2 linked regions of the Coturnix japonica genome follow. The protein of the gene in region 2 purifies or fractionates together with the protein of the main gene of each other region. This does not show direct contact. Links are inferred from orthologs where the notes say so. Each region holds a gene or a part of one and is shown on either strand. Other genes may lie near its edges.

What was found.
Region 1: the proteins of PTPN1 (region 2) and ABCD3 purify together in Homo sapiens (affinity purification with mass spectrometry; 3 studies listed by BioGRID and IntAct, with this or other methods). This does not show direct contact. The link is inferred for Coturnix japonica from reciprocal best matches to the Homo sapiens genes PTPN1 and ABCD3.

The regions. Positions count from the first base shown.
Region 1 is NC_029523.1:11,763,797-11,768,155, reverse strand, and holds the start of ABCD3 (ATP-binding cassette sub-family D member 3), read left to right. Parts: upstream 1-1,501; 5' UTR 1,502-1,567; coding exon 1,568-1,683; intron 1,684-4,359. UniProt on the Homo sapiens protein: Broad substrate specificity ATP-dependent transporter of the ATP-binding cassette (ABC) family that catalyzes the transport of long-chain fatty acids (LCFA)-CoA, dicarboxylic acids-CoA, long-branched-chain fatty acids-CoA and bile acids from the cytosol to the peroxisome lumen for beta-oxydation.
Region 2 is NC_029535.1:12,162,801-12,167,160, reverse strand, and holds the start of PTPN1 (tyrosine-protein phosphatase non-receptor type 1), read left to right. Parts: upstream 1-1,523; 5' UTR 1,524-1,543; coding exon 1,544-1,687; exon of another isoform or gene 1,688-4,360. UniProt on the Homo sapiens protein: Tyrosine-protein phosphatase which acts as a regulator of endoplasmic reticulum unfolded protein response. Mediates dephosphorylation of EIF2AK3/PERK; inactivating the protein kinase activity of EIF2AK3/PERK.

The DNA of each region.
Region 1 (4,359 bases), on a different chromosome or scaffold from region 2:
AATGCAGAGCACACAAACTGACCTCAAATTGCAGAACAAAGGAGGAACTTCTGTCACAAAAGCATTTGTCGGTGTGGGTGATTTTACCACGAATATGCTCATCCATAAGTCTTGTTGGAAACTGATGAAACAATGGATCAATAAAAACCTTGTGTTTTGGACTAAGTGCCCGCTTATTAGTTCCACTACAAAGTTGTTGGTTTTTTTTAAATAAAAACCAACAGTGAAAAATGAAGACAGTAGATTAAACAGCGAGAGAACTCGACACATGAGACAGGTTTCCTAGCAGATGAAGGGCTTTTGTGAAATTATTTAAAGACAAGGTAGAAGATGAACAAAATACAGGATCTGGTACTGAGTAAGCTCAAAAAGTGGGGTAAGGACAGAAGATAAACTTAGCAGAGCACAAGTCATGCAAACAACAAAGGTCAGCGTGGCCTAAATAGACAGACATTGTATGTACACGGTGCATGGTGTTGGGCTATATTTGAAAGATAGTTCAGTGGAAGGGCATGACCAACCTAAGCCTATGGAGGAAAGAGGATCTGTAGAAACTTACAACCATGCACTGCTTTTGATCCCAGCACAGACAGAGATGAAAAGTGGCAGCAAAACTGCACCTCAAGGAAAAATTCTAGACTTCCACCTTCATAATGATATGAATCTAAGAAATTTTATTTGATGAGGATATTACCTATTTTTAGCTTTTCTGATTTACCTGCTGTCTAAATATCTAAAACTTCAAAAAGACCCCAACAAACACCCAAGTTTGGCCTCCAACTCTGAGCGGTACAGAGAAAAAATTCTGATACACAATAAACTTCATCATGTTTTGTGATTCTGATGCATATTTTTCAGGTGATCAGAATACACGTGGAATAGTTTACCTCAGTTCCCCCAACAGACACCAATGTACTGATGCTTTTAAAGCAGAGAGATGACCAGGCTGTGCAAGACACAGAAGTCAGTGCCAGGGAACCAGCTCTAGCAGCCCTTTCTCCTGTGCTCTAGAACAGGCAAACAACTGAATGTTCTGAGACCGCATTTCGGCACCAAGAGACAAACTTGTCCCAAGTGCGATGGCAGCGCTGCTGGCCTGGGTGTTTGCGCTGGGACAGCTCGGCCTGGCGGACTGCTACTGACTGCGAGGGAAAAGCACCTACGAGTCGAACAGGTTCGGCGGGGGCGGGCCGTGAGTTTCTGCCCGGGCAGGGGCGGCTTTTCTATACTCACACTGGTAACATGTTCCTCTGTGTTGAAAGTTAAACTTGGCAGCTCCTCTCAGGGCCCTAAAAGAAAGACAGTGACGTGAAAGCCTTCCTGGGAGGCTTATTTTGCGCTGCCTTTACCCGTGTATGACATTGGGGACTCACAGGGGCGTACAGCTGCACAACGAGCCGCCAGGCCGAGGTGCCGCAGGGACGAGACGGGAGCGGGGCACGCTGCGCACAACCTCCCTCCGGCCGGCGGAGGCGAGGCCGGCAGCGCCCCGCCCCTCGTCCCGCCATTCCCTGCGCCCTCTCGGCACGGCTCGGTTCGGCTGCGGCTCTGCGGCAGCGCTCGCGCCATGGCTGCCTACAGCAAGTTCCTCACCGTGCGCCATTCCGCCATCGTCGGCGGCACGGCGGCCGCCTGCGCGCTGCTCTGCCTGCTCAACAAGCGGCGGGCCGCGGCCCAGCACGGGTGAGCTGAGCTGAGCTGGGCGGGGGCGCGGCGCGGTGGGCCGGGGGCGAGCTGCAGCGGTGCGTGGGGACGGAGCGGGGCCCGGAGGTCGGTCCCGGGGCTCTCCCTGCAGTGAGGTCCGCTGCCTCCACCCTCGGGACCGTCTCCTATAGAGGAGGCGGCATCCCCTGCCCGTGGTGTGGCGGCACGCCCCGGCTCCGCTGCTCGAGTTGTATTTGTTTTCTCAGTTTTCCCATCTGTGAGCTACTGCTGAGAAAGAGTTATACGTTTAGGTTTGTCCTGTCTGCACAGGTAATAACGGGCGAGGGTTATTCTGGTGCCGGCACGCCGACAGCTGTAGCAGCGATAGAGGCTGCTTGGGTTACCTGTGAGGGTGTCTCACCTGTGTGTGTGTGTGTGTGTGTGTGTGTGTGTGTGTGTGTGTGTGTGTCGTGTGCTGGCCCCTGGGGAGCAGCCGGGTACCAGAACGTGTGATGGGTGGTGAAGATGCTCCAGGCTCAGTCCTTGTGTGGTTCTGGCAGATCTATGGACTTCGGTCGCTGGCTGCGTGCTAAAGACCTGGCATGTACAGTTAGATATCGTGTAATTGCCATAACCTGATCCTGGTGCTAAACAGCGATGGTGAAATGGACTTACTCAATAGACTTAAGTAATAACATACCTGTAGTTAAGCAATGACTTAGTGTTATTTTACCCAATTCCTTTCATACAGGTGTTATCTTCAGAGCTTTCTGATGTTAGGTAACTTTGTCATATAACATACATAAAGTGTGAGCAACACAGGGCTTCTTGGAATTTGCTATGTTACGTTATTTGTGTGGGAATGGAAACGAGATCCTAAACTATCATTGATGGTTTGTTCTTCTGCCCAATTCATAGGCGAGGGTGATATATTCCAGTTATCTCTGTAAAATTTAGTCAAACACCATTTGTAAAAATGTGAAAAGCTTTATAGATGGGCTTGAAAGTGGTAAGTTGAGAGGGTTACTGATATGTACTATAAGATTTTCCTACTTATTGCATTGGAATGGTGTCTGTAAGGAAGACTGGGCCAGGTAGATGTTCTGGGAGAATTTGTGTTCGTACTTCAGACTGCAAATATGCTTTTGAAGTGAACAAATTGTCCACACTTCCCTTGCTTTCTCTTTATTGAGGAGTGGACTTAGTGCACAGTCTTGGATTACGTTCAGTTTGAAACGCACCTTCAACTGTAGATTGAGGTCCATTTAATATACTCCTGAAATACATATAATGTGGCTCCTGGATTGTCCCTGAACTGTCTCTGTTGCAGGTTTCTTGATGTTGCTCTGCTGGACTCAACAAGGACAGCGCCTCTATTAGCTGAGAGTGAATGCGGTGAAACTAAATTCTAGCTTGAATATTGAAAATTGTGCCTGGAATGCATTCCTCCTGTAGGAATCTTATGATTTTGCTACATACAGTGTTAAAAATCTAAGTTATTTGTACATACTAGGTGGACTACGTGCTATTATAATGTTATTGTCTGTTGCAAAGTGGAGATGATTCATACATTTAGCAGTTGAATGGACTTGAGGTGGTCTGACCTGACGTGACCTATCCCTTTTCCTCTATCTATACTACAGTTATCCTCATACCTCTTTCTTACTGCTGTAATCTGCCTCTCTTACACCATTTTGCTTTCTCAAATCTATTAGAAATGCAGTTTCTAAAATAAGTACCGTGTTTGCCAACCAGTTTGTACCTATGCAACTACTGCTTTAGGCTTTTGAAGCACTCTGTTGCATAGCCCTTAATACTGCTGTTATGTTGGGGCTGTGAATAACAAGCTCTACATCCACCATTCAGTTGTTTCATGGCCAGCTATGCTGCTCCTTTTTGTAAGGATGAGATTTGCCCATTGGTCTTCCTTCTTTTCTCCATTTTTCCTTGTGAGGCCAACCTTGCCAGGAGCATTACAGAATGCTGCCTATCAAGAAGAGGCAGTAAGCAAGTTGCATTGCCTACACCACAAAAGCAACCACTTATTACCATTGCCTCATCCTCTTTTAGTCTTGTTAGTTTATGTATCATTCATTTCCTAATGCTTTGTTGCTAACATAAATTATAGCACACTTTGGGAGCGACTGTCGCTGTGCCAGATTTTTCTATTCCAGCATACTTGTGCTGGTATACAATACTGACATACAAATAAGCGGTAAAACTTCATGTGTGTGTTAATTATGATAGGGAATAGTCAGCTAAAGAAACTATCGCAGGAGAAAGAGACAACTCTCACCTACATTTCTGCTGTCAGACAATAGGGACAAAGTCCGGTACAACTCATATCAAGTAGTGAGGTATGAATAATTAAGCTGGATGTTATGCTAGCCTACCTACTAGCCTAGTAGGTCAAAGATCACTTAATTAGTGTTAGTTGGATTAGTCACAGCTGTTCTGCTGTAGGACCTGTTACATTGCTCATCAGTTGTGCAGAACTGAGAGGTTGTATCACCTACAGCTGACAGTAAATTTTAACTAAACATTTCTAAAATCCTCAAAAATAGCTCAGAATAGAACTGTTGGCTTGTAGGAAGAAGCTCAGTTGTATTCCATGTTATTTTCTGTGCTTTAGTCAAGGAAGCAAAAATGCCCTGTTTTTCCATTTGAGTTGCTCTCATCAAAATAAAGTCTGTTTCCTAGGAAAAACCTTTGATG
Region 2 (4,360 bases):
GAGGTGAACACGATGGCACTCAAAGTCATAGCAAGCAGATGGTGACATCCAAACTATTAACATGGAAAATATGTCACCTGATGAGCTGTATGAGAACATAACCACACATCAGGAAATCTGTGCTCTTAGTAAAATGTTTAGATTTTTTATACCATCAGAAACATATATCTATTTTTCCATTTGCACCTCCTTTTCACTACTACCACCAACGTTCAGTTTCCAGTCTGCAGCTTCTTTTGCTCCTGATCCCTTTTCACCATGTGAAACCACTCACGTTGTGGCCTTGATCTCTACAGGGCCACAGCTGCACAGTGAAACCAGCCTCTTGTGGCTGCAGCTGTTCTCTAGCTGATTGGGCAACCCAGCACATGGCAATCCACACCACTTCCATGCCAGTCCCTTTCTCTGTCTCTCTGAGGATATAGATTCTCCCTGTGCCACATGTTATATCCATAGGCTACTAAACCCACGTGTCTTGCTGTTGCACAGCACTCCTTCCATCAAGGGCTTGGGTTTGCATGGCCCTGCATGAGATGCATCACTGCAGTGAAAATGCTGTGATCCTGCAGCAGCCAGGGATTGATGCCATTTCCCACAGTCATAGCCCTGAAGTGCCCTGGAGCAGAGATTGGTATTTGTGTGTTGGATGAAATGTGCTGCCGTACACTGACAAACTGCCACTTGCTTTCTTACACCCCTGTACTCTGAGGGTCCTCTGTTTGTTTCCTCTTCAGCACAGCCTGCAGGGTATTGTCTGTTCTCACGAGGAGGTGAGGCCAAGTGGACCGCCTGCTTCACCTGGATTAGAAACCACAGGAGGGCTTACTCAGCAATGAAGCAATGCCATCACCTCGAACGTGTTTTGGAGAGCTATCCTCACCAAAAAGAGGCCAGAAGTGCTCCCCAACAGATTCTTCAGTGTAACCCAGGGCTAATAGTTGAATTGTTGAGTCTTACATGATGCACTGTTAGCAAAAACCAAAATGAAGACAAATGAACCTTCCATATGAACAACCCCAAATGCTGAACCAAAACCAAACAGAGAATCAGAACTAGGAATGCCTGAGGTGTAACAGCAAAAGGACACGCTGGAAGATCAGCTCTGTATAACAAAATGTTACAGTTCTGCTCAAGAAAGGGGATGTTAACGTAGACTAATGGCACAGATACGTACAGTCAGTAGCATTAGGTGTGGTGACTGTTAATAGCAAGTTAACAGCAGTTGGACGCTGGAGATGCCGCCTGCTACAGCTGGCTTAGTGACTACAGAGCTGCACTCAGACAGCACAGCAGCAGCATGGATCGTATTTGCAGGCAGCTGGATTGCTATTCATGATGTTGGCTGATTTAACGCAGGTAATCTCACAATGCTGAATTTTATCAGAAATGCAAACTAAAGCTTTAACGTTCCTAAGCTCAGTAACTCATTTCCCGGCTCCAAACCAACACATCTCGCTCCCCCTCCAACCCCGCGGCTGCGGCCGCCCCGGACGTCGCGTCTGGTGTCGGGCTGCGTAGTTCCGGCCCAGCAGGGCGGGGTGAGATGCGGAGCGGGCAGCCCGGGCCGAGGCAGCAGCAGCTGGAGCCGGAGCAGCGGGGCCAGGCCGGGCGCGTTGTTCCGGCCATGGAGATGGAGAAGGAGTTCCACCGGCTCGACCAGGCCGCCAGCTGGGCCGCCATCTACCAGGTGAGGGGCGGCCGCCCGGCCCCGCTCTGACCCGGCGATGAGGAGCGCTCTGCTCGCGGCCGTTCTCCGCTGCCGCCGGCTCCGCTCCCCCAGCGCCTGCCCCGGCCGGAGCTCCAGGCGGGCGGCGCTGCGTTCCGCTGCGTTCCGTTGTGTTCCGCTGCCTTCGTTCCGTTTCGTTCCGTTTCGTTCCGTTTCGTTCCGCTGCCATCGCCCATGTCGCGACTTTCCGTTCCTCCTGTCCGTGCTGGATCACTCGCCGTTCCCTCCTTCCCTTTCCTCGCGGCGCTCAGGGTGGCTCGGTGCAGCCCAGGCCCCGCCGCTCTCCCCGCCGGCTGCCGGCATCGTCCCTCCGCGTCGCGGCCGCTCTCGGCCTTTGGAGCTGCCGGTCCCATTGTGAGCAGCGGGTCCCGGCTGTCATTGAGCTCGGTCCGTAGCGATAGAGCGGATCCGAGGAGCAGCTGGCTGGTGACGCTCGTGCAGTTATATTGTGGCATTTGTTATTACTTTGTAACGAGCCAAGTTCTGGTGTTGTTATTGCAAACACGGATGATTCTGAGGATGCTGGCAAGGTGGATCCAGGTTAACACACACAGCTGTGAGCAGGTCTTCTGCCTCCAAAGAGCTCTGTGTGTTTATCCCGGAGGTGTGAGGGGAGCTGCAGCTGTGTGTGATACTGTGATGTGCTCAGTCACATCAGACAGCGGACATTAGAAAAAGGGCAAAAAATGAGTTTTTATGAAAGTGAAATAAACGAGCTCCAGCTTCACAACAGCAGCATGTGAGCTGTGAAAGCACCAGCTTGCAGGATGGGCATCTCCTGTTGGTTGGCAGTGGGAAAATAGACATTTTTCTTATGAAATCTTGATTATCTTTTTCAGAGAAGTCATTTTTTTTGGCAGAGGATTTCATTTCCTGCAGAGCCTCAGTGCTCGCTAACTCTGTATTGGTTGGAAGTCATGTGCTCGTATGATGATGTGTTTTTGTTAAACTTCTCTTGGTATTTTGGTCTGTTGCAGGCTGAGCGCTCAGGAAATGATGTTGAGTAGCAGCGCTGTAATGGAGGTGGTCAACTTCCAGGGGTGCAGTTTAATTACTGAGGTGGAATCCATAAGGAGCTGTGAGGTTAATAAGGAACGAGGGCTGTGGCATGTTTCCAGTGCAGCATTTGGTATATTTTTTCCTGCTTTCTCTGAATGATGTGACGCAGTCTCTGCTCAGACTGTCACAGAGTGAGGTTTGACTGAGGACTGATATTCAAATTAAAAGTAACAAGATGAAGTGATTTGCTTCCAGTTGTAGACAGGCATGAGAAGCTTGTATTTTAAGGTTTCTTGCTTGTATTTTACGGTTAGTAAGTATGTGCTTCTGCATCACATAACTCAGTTTCTACTGCATCCTTCTTTTCAGTATCAGCTGTTTTAAGTGACATGGTGGCAGATCATATACATCTAGAACAGCGTACCTCGCTGTAATCCATGCTTGTGATGTCTTGGCAGTGACATGATCAATGCAGTTTTCCAACAAATACCAATCTTTGCCTGAAGAATGGAGTTAAGTGGAATAATGTTTCTTACTGGCACAGTCTCTTCTTTCTAAAGAGTCTTTCTCCGGGTTAATTATACCATGTACTTCTACTGTGTAGGTGGTAGGATCATGATTGCTAAAATCCAGATGTGTTCACCAATGTTCTGAATGAAACATCACACGGTTTACTATCAGAATCGCTTCCTCTTGTTTCTGGGCTATATCATTGATCTAGAGATACAGCTGACTTTTAGAGGAGGCATTAGGAACACAACAGGGAGGTGAATCTGACTGCAGGGGTGGCTGTAAGGAGGTCTGTGTGGATGCCACATGACTTTGAAGGCATAACATTTTCCAAGCTTCTTTTTTTTTTGTCCAAGAGGAAGCTGTGTTCAGCTGCAATAATCACCCGGTTCTGAAAGAATGGGAGTACCAGGAGGATTGAAATGCATTCACTCTGGAGATGTCACAACAAAAAGCAGGAGCCGAAAGCTACGAAAAGAAGGTTCAGGAGAAATTTCATTGCAGCCTTCCAGCACTTGAGGGGAGCTTAGAAACAGGATGGAGGACGACTTTTTACTGGGGTGGATAGTGATAGGCTAAGGGGGAATGGTTTTAAACTGAAAGAGGGGGGATACAGGTTTTCACTTGACGTAGTGAATTCAGTACCAAATTTTAATGGTAATTCTATATGTAGAAGTCTTCAATAATTTTGATTTCTAACTCCTTACACACGTTGGTAGAATGAGATACTATCTTAAAAACACAAACCTCAAATACAGGTTAAATTGCTTCTTGTGTTTACATAAACCTGGTAGGTTGATGTTAGTATGTTGGCTAATGATATTAAGTCTGATGTGTTAATAACATTAAAGAGATCTGTGAATTATTCAGCGTTCAGCTAGGAATCCCATGCAAAGCAGACACTGCAACCTGCACTAACTTGATACTGTTGGTTTTCACTGAAGCATCTATGACATTTTCTCGACGTTAGTTTTCCACGTGAAGGGTGCAGAATTTGTGCTGTAGATTGCAAAATAAGAAAGAACTGATTGTCATTTAGATTTCCAGGTCTGTTCAGAATGGGGAATATTGGGCGCTGTACTGGCTCTGTTGCTGTGCCCCCCCGTGGAAAACTGACGTATGTTA